Macaca fascicularis: one gene and its partners. The protein of the gene in region 1 interacts with the protein of each later gene in a pairwise test. Links are inferred from orthologs where the notes say so. Each region holds a gene or a part of one and is shown on either strand. Other genes may lie near its edges. The genes, in order: ZMYND19, TNFAIP1 and ENOX1.

Region 1 (3,656 bases):
GCAGAGTCGCCCCTTGCGGCAGGGTGAGGCCTCCCCGCGGGCGACCGGACACCGGCGGAGCAGGACACAGGACCTAGCCCCGTTCGCTCCAGGCTGCAGGGGAGGCCACGCTGCCCACCACGGCGTACCCAGTCCCTCCCTGAGCGGGCCTCGGCATTCCCGCGGAGCCCAACCGGCCTCACTGGAGTTCCGTTTCCAGACGCCCTGGACCAGGCTGCTCCGGCGGTCAGCCGCCCCCGGGGCTGAGGAACCGGCGGCTCGGAAAAGGCTGCGGGGGAGGCCGCACCCTCCGGGTCGCGTGGGCCGGGCGTCCGCGGTCTCTCCAGGAGCACCCGCGTCCCGCGGCAACGGCCTCTTCCTAGCCCGCCTCGCCCGCTCCCCGCCCACCCAGCGGGCCCCACACGCGCTCCGTCCGCCTCCTTCCGCGCTTGGGGCCAGGACGGCGGCGGGAAGCAGCTTACGAGGGCCACTGCAAGGGAGGAGAAGGGCGTCCAGCTCGCAGAGCGCCACAGACCCGGCGCGAGTCCCCAGCCGCGCTCCGCACGGCCCCTCCAGGAGCAGCGCGGCGGCCCGCACAAAGCTTCCCGCGAAACTGACGTCGGCGCGCGCAGGCACCGCCCCCGACCTCGCCCCTCCCCCGCGCTCGCCCCGCTCCCCAGAGCGCCGGCGCACTCGCCCTCCTCCCATTGGTTGCTGCGGCGCGGCGCGCTCCGGCCGGCGCCGTGCGCGCCTAGCGATTGGCCGAGCGGCGGCGGGCCGGGGGGTGTGTCCCGGGCTGCGCCCCGCCCCTCCGCTCCGCTCGCTGTGGTGCGCGCGGTGGCGGCGGCAGCGGCGGCGGCGCGTGGCAGGTCCGGCGGGCGCGAGGCGGCGGCGGAGGCCCGAGCCCGGCCCAGCCTCGTCCCGCCCGGGGCCCGCCTGGCTGCTACCCCGACCCCGGCTCCGGTCCCGTCCTGCCCCGGCGCGCCGCGGCCTCGCCCCGGCCCCCGCCCGGCGCCTCCCGAGGGAGCGGCGCTGCCGGCCGAGAGCGCAGGCCCGGCCATGACCGACTTCAAATTGGGTATCGTGCGGCTCGGCCGGGTGGCCGGGAAGGTGAGCGGCGCGGAGCCCGCGGCCCGGCCCGTCTCGCCCGTCCTGGCCTCCGCGCGGGGCCGGGGGCCGGGGCCGGGGGCGGTTGTGCGGGCGGCGGCCGGGGCGGGGGCGCGGAGCCCGGGATGGGCCCCAGCGGGGCGGGGGACGCTGCGCGGGCCCGGCTGCTGGCCCCGCGCGGGTGCAGCTTCCTCTCGCAGGCCGGCGGGCGCGCACCCCTCGGCGGCGGGGCGCACCTGGCCGCCCTCGGCCCTGCCCTGCCGGAGGCGGAGGCCACGGCCCTGTCCCGAGCCGGGCGCGGAGATGCGTGGCTCGAGCCCGGCCGCGTTCTCCCGGAGCCCTCCCCGTGGTGTCGGGGAGCCGGGGCCTAGCGCGGCGTCCGGGCTGCCGGTGCGGCCACACGGTTTAAACACAGCGCCCTTTCCGAGGCAGCGCCACCTCCACACCTCTCGCCGAGGCGGGTCTGGTGTGGGCTCTTCTCTGCCTCCCAGTTCTCAGCAGGGCTTCGGGCTCGTTTTAACGCTGCCAGGGGTTGGCCAGGTTAGGCAGAGCCTCGGGCTCACAGCAGAGAGGAAGAAGCCTGGGCCCTGATGCAGACTCAGGGCCTTCCTCGATTTCTCTTCTCACCTGGCCCCCACGCTGCACGTTTGAGGCTGGGGATTCCATGGCACCTGTGGGCACTGAGGCTTGGCGGTTTCTCGGAGCCACCTGTGCAGCTGCACCAGCCGGGGTCCTTACCCGGATGGGAGCCCTGTTGCCGTCACCAGCGGCTGCAGCTTCTGGTGGGAGAGAGGAGCGGAGGCAGTGTCAGGCGGCGTCAGGTAAAACAGGTTCAGATCCCAGAAGAAAAACTGCCAAGAGGGATACTGGCCCGTTCTGGGACCTGTTCCTGTTTCCTGCCCCTGCTGCAAGAGCATAGGCAGGGCCTGCTGGGGAGGAGGCTTTTTTCCACCAGGGAAGGGTGGGCTCCCCAGTCAGGTCAGAGACCTGAGACCCCTTCTGATTCCACCACCGATGACATTGTCATCCCTTACAGCTTTTCTTTGGAACATTTCAGATGGACAAAAAACTGAAAAGGGCAATTCAATGAGCAGCTCAGCTTAATAAACACACCCTAATCATAACCTTCTGGCTCTTCTGCCTCAGCCCTGGACCCTCCCTCAGCTCAGTGAAACCGTTTCTGCCTAGGTTTATTGGTGTGTTAAATGTTCCGTGCCACTGTTGGGGTTAGGCCTGCGAGGATGAGGCCTGATACCAGCTCCTCTGGAGCAGATGAAAGTGGTCTGCTGTCTTTTAACCAGTCTGCCTGTGTTTTGGCGTAGACTGCACCACCCCAGATGGTGGAATGAGGCCCCCGTGTGCTGAGCTGTCTTGGTCTGAAGAGGCCTGTGGTTACTTTCCACTTCACAGGAAAATGCAACAGGCTCCTGCCTGTTCTGGTTATAAGGTTACTGCACCTCACGCAGATCTCAAATGTAATGATTTGAAACATGTGGTTAACTTTCAGACCAAATACACGCTGATCGATGAGCAGGACATCCCGCTGGTGGAAAGCTACTCCTTTGAGGTAAGTAAGGATGCCTGTTCCTTCCCTTAATGCTTGTGGTCAGTGCCCAGGAGGGTCACGAGGAGCGAGCCCTCCCCTGTGCTGCAAGAGCAGGTGGCCCCACAAGTGGACATCTGGGGCTGGCTGTGAGCCCTGAGCCCTCAGCCCCACATGGAGCCGTGGCCCCGCAGAACCTGGCTGTTGCTCCCACTGTGGCCCACGCGGCTTGGCGACACTGGTCTTTCCTCACTTTCACCTCAGCTGTTAGCTCTTCTTGAAAGCAAATGGAATGTTCTCACGTTTGCGATTGTGTCACGTGGACCATGTCTGTTAGCTCGAAGACCTTGTTCCTTAGAGCTTGCCACCTGCTGAGCCTGCGCTAGCCCCTCCTGGCTGCCCAGCTGCCTCCCGTTCTCTGCTCTCATGGGGTCTTCCTGCCTCTTCCCAGCTTCCGTTCCTGCCACTGAGCTTGGCCTCCCTCACCACACTTTATCTCTGTGCCCCACACATTCACAGTAGTGACTTGTCCAGGGGTTTCTCTATCTCACTGCACTGTGGGCTTTTTTCAAGGGTAGGAAAATGTATTTGTCTATGTCCATTGTATTTTGCAGAGTTGTTTGTGAGTGTTTCTTGCCTGGATAGACAGAGTGGTGGTGGGGCCACGCTGGCCCCTGGGAGCCATGTGCCTATGGGAGGCTCTGCACTCCCCAGGGTCTCAGGGACAGGGCTGGCATTTGTCCCTCCTCTGGCTTGCTTGTTTCACTTGGTTTTTCTTTTTCTTTTTTTTTTTTTTTTTTTGAGACGGAGTCTCGCTCTGCCGCCCAGGCTGGAGTGCAGTGGCCGGATCTCAGCTCACTGCAAGCTCCGCCTCCCGGGTTCACACCATTCCCCTGCCTCAGCCTCCCGAGTAGTTGGGACTACAGGCGCCCGCCACCGCGCCCGGCTACTTTTTTGTATTTTTTAGTAGAGACGGGGTTTCACCGTGTTAGCCAGGATGGTCTCGATCTCCTGACCTCATGATCCG
Region 2 (3,748 bases), on another chromosome or scaffold:
AACCCTAGCACCTAGCATGGTGCCCACACATAACTGGCACTCAGTAAATGCGGAATGAATGACCGTGGAAACAGGAGACCATTACAGTAACCAAGGCTGGCAGCTGAAGACAAGTGCTCCGAGTTGAGATGTTTTGTAAGTCGAGGTGATTGGGGCTTAGTAATGGACTGACTGAATGTGGCGGTTTTGGGATAAGAGAAAAACAAGTCAGGCATGACTCCCATGAATCTGGCTTGGCCCACCTATCTGATTGGAGGGGCTGGCTTAAAGAGATAGGTAAGATGGAAGAAGGGGTGCAGGGAAAGAGTTCACAGATTCTCTACCAACTCCCATCACACGCGTGTCTGAGCATCTGAGCAACACCTGGCCCAAGAGCTGGGACTAAGCTCCCTGAGCATGACGCGGTGGCATAATTTGTGTGGCCAGGCTCTCCCAGATGCATGCGAGGCACTGCGAGCAGACTCTTTACTATGTAAATTCCCCGAATTTATCCGAGCCCCGTTTCCTCGTAAGATCGTGGCAAGCATCAACGCGTCAAACTCCAGGCCTAACCTGGGTGTGAAAGCGCCCCCTGAGAGTGGGGCGGAATTCCCACGTCTCTCTCCGCCCGGGCTCTTTCCTCAGGACGCGGGCCTGTCAGGCTCCTCTCGCCCCTGGTCCGCCCGCATCCCCCGACCCGAGGTCAGCCTACCTGCCGGCCCAGCGGCGGCAGCGCGCTGCAGCCTAGGCTGATGTAGACAGGCAGCTTCTCCCGGGTCAGCGGCAGCCGGTACCCAGTCAGCCTGCCACGGCCGCTGCCACGGCTACAGAACCTGTTTACCCATGACGTCACTACCTTCCTGACCCCGGAAGCACTTACAGCCCCGAATCCACAGAGGTTGCTGGGAAACAGAGGCCCGAGGGGAGGTCGGGCCTACAAGACCCAGAAGCCTTAGCGCCGGCAAGGCGACCGGAAGTGGCTTTCCTCTCTCCGCGAAGACCCTCGGGGGATTCCGCCTCCACCCTTTCCCGGATAGAGCGCTATGCATGCAGGGACTTGTAGTCTCAGGCTCCCCGACCGGTGGGGCTGGGCCGCACTCCGGGCGGAGTCGGCGAGCGCAGGATGTGAGCTCACAGCCCGGGACTGCTGGTGGGCAGGCGGCTGCAGGCTAGGGGCGGCTCGGAGTCCGCTGGCCACCCAGCTGAGAGGAGAGGCGCCCCCGGGGACGGTGAGAGCCGGGCCCGCAGATGCCCTCGGGGAAGGGATGGACGGCCCCTGCTGGAGTATAGCGAGCCCGGCCGGGTCCTGGGGAAAAGGCGCGGGCGGCGTTGGGGAAAAGGAGAGCTCTGATCTCCCACGGAGGGTGGGCGTGAGAATCGGTGTGGGTTTCTCGGTAGTGAGGAGTGGCCCGGGCTAGAGAAGAGCCCACACCGGCCACATTTCCCAGGATTTTTTGGGTGACGCTTAACCTTTACACCTAGGGTTTCTGCTAGATCCGCCCACTCTAGCCCTCAGCTTTCCCCGCGCCGTCCTCCGTGTCTGACGGATTTCTGGGTCCTTCTTCCTTTTAGACCTCTCCTCTTTCTACAGCCGCGGCTGTTTGCCCTTTGTTCTGCTTGGGTTCCCATTAGCTTCGTTGCGTGAGCCATGGATCCGCCCCTAGCCCCAGGCATCCCCAAATATCCACACACAAAGTGCGGAAGGAAGAGCACTGTGGCTATCAGTGGAAACTTCATTCTCACTGGAATTACTTTCTGGGGCGTCACCTGCCACAGGATTCCTGGAACCCATTGGTCTGGGCGGAATCTGATTGACGTCATCCAGGGGCTCAAAGCAATTGCTTTGTAGGAAAGGAATAGATTAACTCTGGATCCGCCGACCTCTCTTGGCAGGCCTATCCTTTGAGCTCCTTTGCATTGACAGAACATGTATGTATGCTTTCTTTGATCCTGGGAAAACTAGGGCTAGACACAAAATACATAGGGAACTTGCTAATGCCTGTTAGGGAGGTGGATTTATTCCTTTGAGGTGGGCGGAAGAAGGGAAGGTGATCTCATACCATTCTAGTGTTTCTTAGTCATTGGCAGCCTCCTGGTGAGGGTTCACCTCCCATACCCAACCTCTGTGGCAAAGGAAAGAGTCTCCCAGACAAGCCGCCAAAGGAATTCACTGCTTCACACAGCACCCACGCTGGCCGTCCACTTCCTTGGACATTCTTCCCAGGGACTTACCTAAATCTTTTCAGGGACAATTTCAATCCAACAAACTGACATATGTTAAATACTTAAAATGTGCATGGCATTGTGCTAAGCACCATTAGGGGAACACAGCAGTAAACTTAGGAAACCAGTGCCCTGCTTCTGGGTTGCACTTACAAGAGAGGAGCAACTGTAAACTCCTGCATGTAATGAGCATTCGGTGAAATCATTCCACTTTTTTTCTGTCTCCGTTATTACTAACGTGGTCCAGGCCCGCCGTCATCTCTTCTTGCCTAGACTACAGTTTCCTCTGGTCTTCCCACTTCCTCTCTTGCACCTTTACAATTCATTCTCTACCCAGCAGCCGTTATCTTTTCAAAATACACTACAAGCAAGTCAGATCATATCACTCCTCTGCTTGCAACTCTCCAATTGATTCATATATTATATAGCAATAGGCCGGGCGCGGTAGCTCATGCCTATAATCCCAGCACTTTGGGAGGCCAAGGCGGGCGGATCATCCGAGGTCGGGAGTTCAAGACCAGTCTGACTAACATGGAGAAACCCCATGTCTACTAAAAATACAAAATTAGCTGGGCATGGTGGTGCATGCGTGTAATCCCAGCTACTCAGGGAGGCTGAGGCAGGAGAATAGCTTGAACCTGGGAGGCGGAGGTTGCAGTGAGCCGAGATCGTGGCACTGCACTCCAGCCTGGGCAACAAGAGTGAAACTCTGTTTCAAAAAAAAAAAAAAAAAAAAAAAAAAATATATATATATATATATATATGTAATAGCAATTAGTATGAAATCCACACTTTGTTATCATCTAACACCTGCCTTCCCTGACTTGACATCAAACCAACTTCCCCCTACTGTCTGTGCACCAGCCATTATGACCTTATTTCTGATCCTAAAACTTGTTTTTATTTTGTTGTTGTTGAGACGAGATTTCCCTGTCACCCAGGCTGACCTGCCCAGGCTCAAGCAATCGTCCCACCTCAGCCTCCCAAGCAGCTGGGACCACAGGCATGAGCCACCATATCTGGCTAATTTTTTTTCATTTGTAGAGACAAACTCTCACTGTTGCCCAGACTGGTCTTGAACTCCTGAGCTCAAGCAATCCACCCACTTCAGCCTCCTAAAGTGCTGGGATTACGGGTGTGAGCCACCACACTCGGCCCCTAAAACTGGTTTCTAACAGGAACTTTGCACTTACTCTTCCATCTGTGTAGAATGCTCTCTTCAAACCTCAGCTGAAATGTCACCTTCCCAAAGATGCTTACCCTGTCCCTCTGTCTAAATTAGTGCCTCTCCCTAATCACTCTCATGTCACTGTTTTATTATCTTTATTGCATTTATCAGGTTCTGGAATTATCTGTTTATTTATTCAAGTCCTTGTTTATAGACTATTTCCTTCCACTAGAATGTAAGCTCCATGTGGACATGACTTTCTATATTTGTTCTCTTCTGAGTACCCAGTGCCTGGCACATAGGGGTACAATAAATGCTAGCTCTCTCTCTTTTTAAAAATTCCTGTTATGATGCTCCTTTGAACTGTTTGAAGGCAAA
Region 3 (3,648 bases), on another chromosome or scaffold:
TTTCAGGAAATATGAAGTCCAAGGATTAAAATGTTTAACAAATGCCCAAATATAAACAACAACAACAAAATTACCAAGTATCCATTTATCAGAGAATAATTATTTGCAAAAGAGAAAATATGAATAGAAAATGAAGGAGAATAAGGAAATAAACAAGGGTAGTTATAGAATAATTTAAGATAAAATAATAGGATGCCATTTTTGCATATCAAATTAGTAAATATTAAGTCCATATGTATATTTTGGGAATTAATCGACCAGTACTCAGCAAGAAACTTGAAAATGCTCATTTCTTTTGACCTACTAGTTCCACATGTAGGAGCCTATCCAATGGAAATAATTCTAACAGCTAAAAAGCCCCATCCATAAAAATGTCTACTGCAATGTTTTAAAGGAAAATGTTACTTGCTTTAAAAAAGCAAAAAGGAGAAAGGAAGAAATAAGAACAAAGGAGTAAGAAGACTATTTAATGTATGCTTACCAGATGGAGGTTATATAAATTATCCCATTTAAATCTCAGCAGTTCCATGAAATAGATATGATCACCATTTTATAGAAAAGGTAAGATGTTTTTGCATGCTCAGGGAGACTAAGTTCTTTAAGGAAACTTGGCTAGTTAACAGTGAAAAAATGAAAACAGCCTAAATGTAAATAGTAGAATGGTTAAGTAATCTGGAGAGTTGATGAATTATTTAAAAAATTTTAATATAAAAGAATACAATGGAAAAATAGTTTAGGATGGCCGGGTGCGGTGGCTCAAGCCTGTAATCCCAGCACTTTGGGAGGCCGAGACGGGCGGATCACGAGGTCAGGAGATCGAGACCATCCTGGCAAACACGGTGAAACCCCGTCTCTACTAAAAAATACAAAAAATTAGCCGGGCGAGGTGGTGGGCACCTGTAGTCCCAGCTACTCGGGAGGCTGAGGCAGGAGAATGGCGTGAACCCGGGAGGCGGAGCTTGCAGTGAGCTGAGATCCGGCCACTGCGCTCCAGCCTGGGCGACAGAGCCAGACTCCGTCTCAAAAAAAAAAAAAAATAAATAAATAAAAAAATAATTGTTTAGGTAAGATGTTAAAACAGTTGGCTGGTGGCCCTGAGAACAAAGCAAAGTGCAGTTAAATTATCAGGCTGTGTAAATGATGAAGGAAAGCCCAGAAAGACCCTGAAAGGCTCAAAAACAGTTTAAGCAATTTGGCTAACACAGGAGATAGAAAAAGTAATTCAGGCAGATACGGTAAATCTTCTATAACGAGTAGGGCTGTAATTCTTTTCATGGCAAGTTGCTGGGAAAATCGTAAATTGGTCACAGTGAAAATGTCAGAAGACTCAAAATCACAAGAAAAAAATAATGAATTAGGAAGGTTTTGGCTTACTCTAGAAGTCGTACAACATTTTCTGAGAGAAGTAGGAGGTGAGACAAGAGTAACTTACTTCTGCTTTCTGAATATTTCAATTAGGCAACTGGGGAAACTTGGGTGGAAAAATAGAAATCTTTACTCTCAAGTTATTAGAAGAAAGTATCTGTCTAGGTAAGCTTTAGGGGAAAGTGGCCTGGGATAAACACACGTTCAAGCCATAGAAAATGTCATTTATGTATACCCACCTCCCTAGAGCAGACTAATCTTCAGTTGTATGAATTTGATAGCATTTTGAAGACTTTAATAAATATCCTAAATGTAATGTTTTAAAACTCAGCCTTTGTATTTCCTTTGTCTCCTACTTTCCCTAGTCTCTTATCCATTTTCATGTTCTTTCTTGTTATATTAAAAAAGAAACCATATATATATGTGTGTGTATGTATGTGTACACATATACACATACACACATGTACACATACACACACACACATATATATTACTATAATTAATTTTCAATTTTTCATTTATGGCCACTATTGAACAAAAAACAAATGCTTGGTCAACTCAGCATAAAGTGCACAGGTATGTGGGAGTAAAATTTAGCAACATTCCAAAAGCGATTGGTTTCTACTTAATGAACACCATCTACCCTCACCTACCTTGATGGCCAAAAGTGAAGTTTTCTTCTGCCATTATAACAATGACTACTGCATAATGCCTGGTTGTCACCTCTCCACTATAAATTCTGAGAGGGCAGACCATACCTGTCTTGTTTACTGTGGGAGCCCTTGCACCAGGACAGTGGCTCAATGAATATTTGTTGAATGAATGAATGAGTGAGTGCATATATAAATCCTACTCATGTCTCCAGACTTAGCGCAAGCCCCAGCTTCCTGATAACATCTTTCCTTAAAGCCCCAGTGACTGATCTGATTACTACATTACCAGTCTGCACCACTACTTAACACACCTGACTCTACACATCATTTTTATCATTGTTTTTCAGGTGTTGGTGTTTTGTTTTGTTTTTTCAATTTAAAGAGAAAGGATCTTCAAAGACACTTATATACATATATATTTATTCTGTTTCTCAAAGCACTTTTTACAGGGCACATGTAAAATCCTCAGCAAACACCTGTTAAATTCAATGATTAAATCTTTTAGATGACTTTTGACTTTGTGATATTTCTAAACATTTTCTCTACTGAATGCTTGCATTGTATTATGATTCCACCATGTGGTGGACAGAAAACAGGGAATTTAGTGTCACCTGAGCTGTTTATAGCTCTGCCACTTCAATGTGGAAAAGATACCTAAACTCTGCTCTTCTGTTTCTCTATTTGTAAAATGGAAACATTAACAAGAGCAATAACAAGAAATATCTACCTATCATAAAGGGAAGACAGTGCAATCAAATGGGATAATATAGGTGAATGAGTTTTGCAAATTGGAAAACAAATATTAGCCATTCTATTTACCAATTTTAAGAAATGCAATTGATGTTGCAAGACTGTGTATAGCAATAATAGTTAGCATGTTTTTTTCTGAGAACAGCTATTAGGTACAAGAGAAAGGTGATGAGGAAAAGAATCTCAAGTACAACTTGCCAAACATGCCCCAGTCATAAATAAAAGACCATGTCCAACACTCGCAGTGCAGAGAGATTACCAGGCACTTGTCACCTACACCTTTCGGGACTGCTGCAAGCATCTCTGAAACCAGGAGAAAGCTTACCAGACACGAGCTGCTGTCCAGGCAACCCCACGGGAACCATGCCCAGGTTATTCATGGCTGTAGCCCAGGCTGTGGGATCTGTCACGGACATGTTGAGCTGGGTCGTGTCTATTGCTATACTCCCCAAACCATCAGCTGCTGTGGGGAAAAACAAACCATGATTTAGAGTTCATAGGCAAGGGTGTTTGTTTTAAAGAAAATCACATTTCTGGAGATGTGAGGCTTCATTTAGCACATTCCCAAACTACACAAAAATAAAAAACTATAATCTACAGCAATGTTTTCTCCAGACATAAACATAAAGTGTTTCCAAATACTTTCTGGGAGAAAACTTAATGACATGTAGTTTATATTATACACAGCATGCTATTAAGGAGATACCCCTGGAAAAAAATTGAAGAATTGTTTGTTTCTCCCAGTGAAACAACATTAGTTAAGTCACAAGGCTGAGAGGCAAAGCAGTAATACTCTCTTGGTAAAACAAGTTAATTGGCTTACTGTTTCTAGGTGTAATTCTTGAGCAGGCAGGCCTTCTATCTAATAAGAAAATCGTTG

The links.
Region 2: the proteins of ZMYND19 (region 1) and TNFAIP1 interact in binary tests that used the Homo sapiens proteins (3 or more experiments, as listed by UniProt). The two-hybrid records come from large-scale screens. The link is inferred for Macaca fascicularis from reciprocal best matches to the Homo sapiens genes ZMYND19 and TNFAIP1.
Region 3: the proteins of ZMYND19 (region 1) and ENOX1 interact in binary tests that used the Homo sapiens proteins (3 or more experiments, as listed by UniProt). The two-hybrid records come from large-scale screens. The link is inferred for Macaca fascicularis from reciprocal best matches to the Homo sapiens genes ZMYND19 and ENOX1.

What each region holds. Positions count from the first base shown.
Region 1 is NC_088389.1:1,725,149-1,728,804, forward strand, and holds the start of ZMYND19 (zinc finger MYND domain-containing protein 19), read left to right. Parts: upstream 1-792; 5' UTR 793-1,038; coding exon 1,039-1,089; intron 1,090-2,593; coding exon 2,594-2,653; intron 2,654-3,656. UniProt on the Homo sapiens protein: May be involved as a regulatory molecule in GPR24/MCH-R1 signaling.
Region 2 is NC_088390.1:33,796,926-33,800,673, forward strand, and holds the start of TNFAIP1 (BTB/POZ domain-containing adapter for CUL3-mediated RhoA degradation protein 2), read left to right. Parts: upstream 1-1,112; 5' UTR 1,113-1,208; intron 1,209-3,748. UniProt on the Homo sapiens protein: Substrate-specific adapter of a BCR (BTB-CUL3-RBX1) E3 ubiquitin-protein ligase complex involved in regulation of cytoskeleton structure.
Region 3 is NC_088391.1:22,692,473-22,696,120, forward strand, and holds part of ENOX1 (ecto-NOX disulfide-thiol exchanger 1), read right to left. Parts: intron 3,232-3,648; coding exon 3,094-3,231; intron 1-3,093. UniProt on the Homo sapiens protein: Probably acts as a terminal oxidase of plasma electron transport from cytosolic NAD(P)H via hydroquinones to acceptors at the cell surface.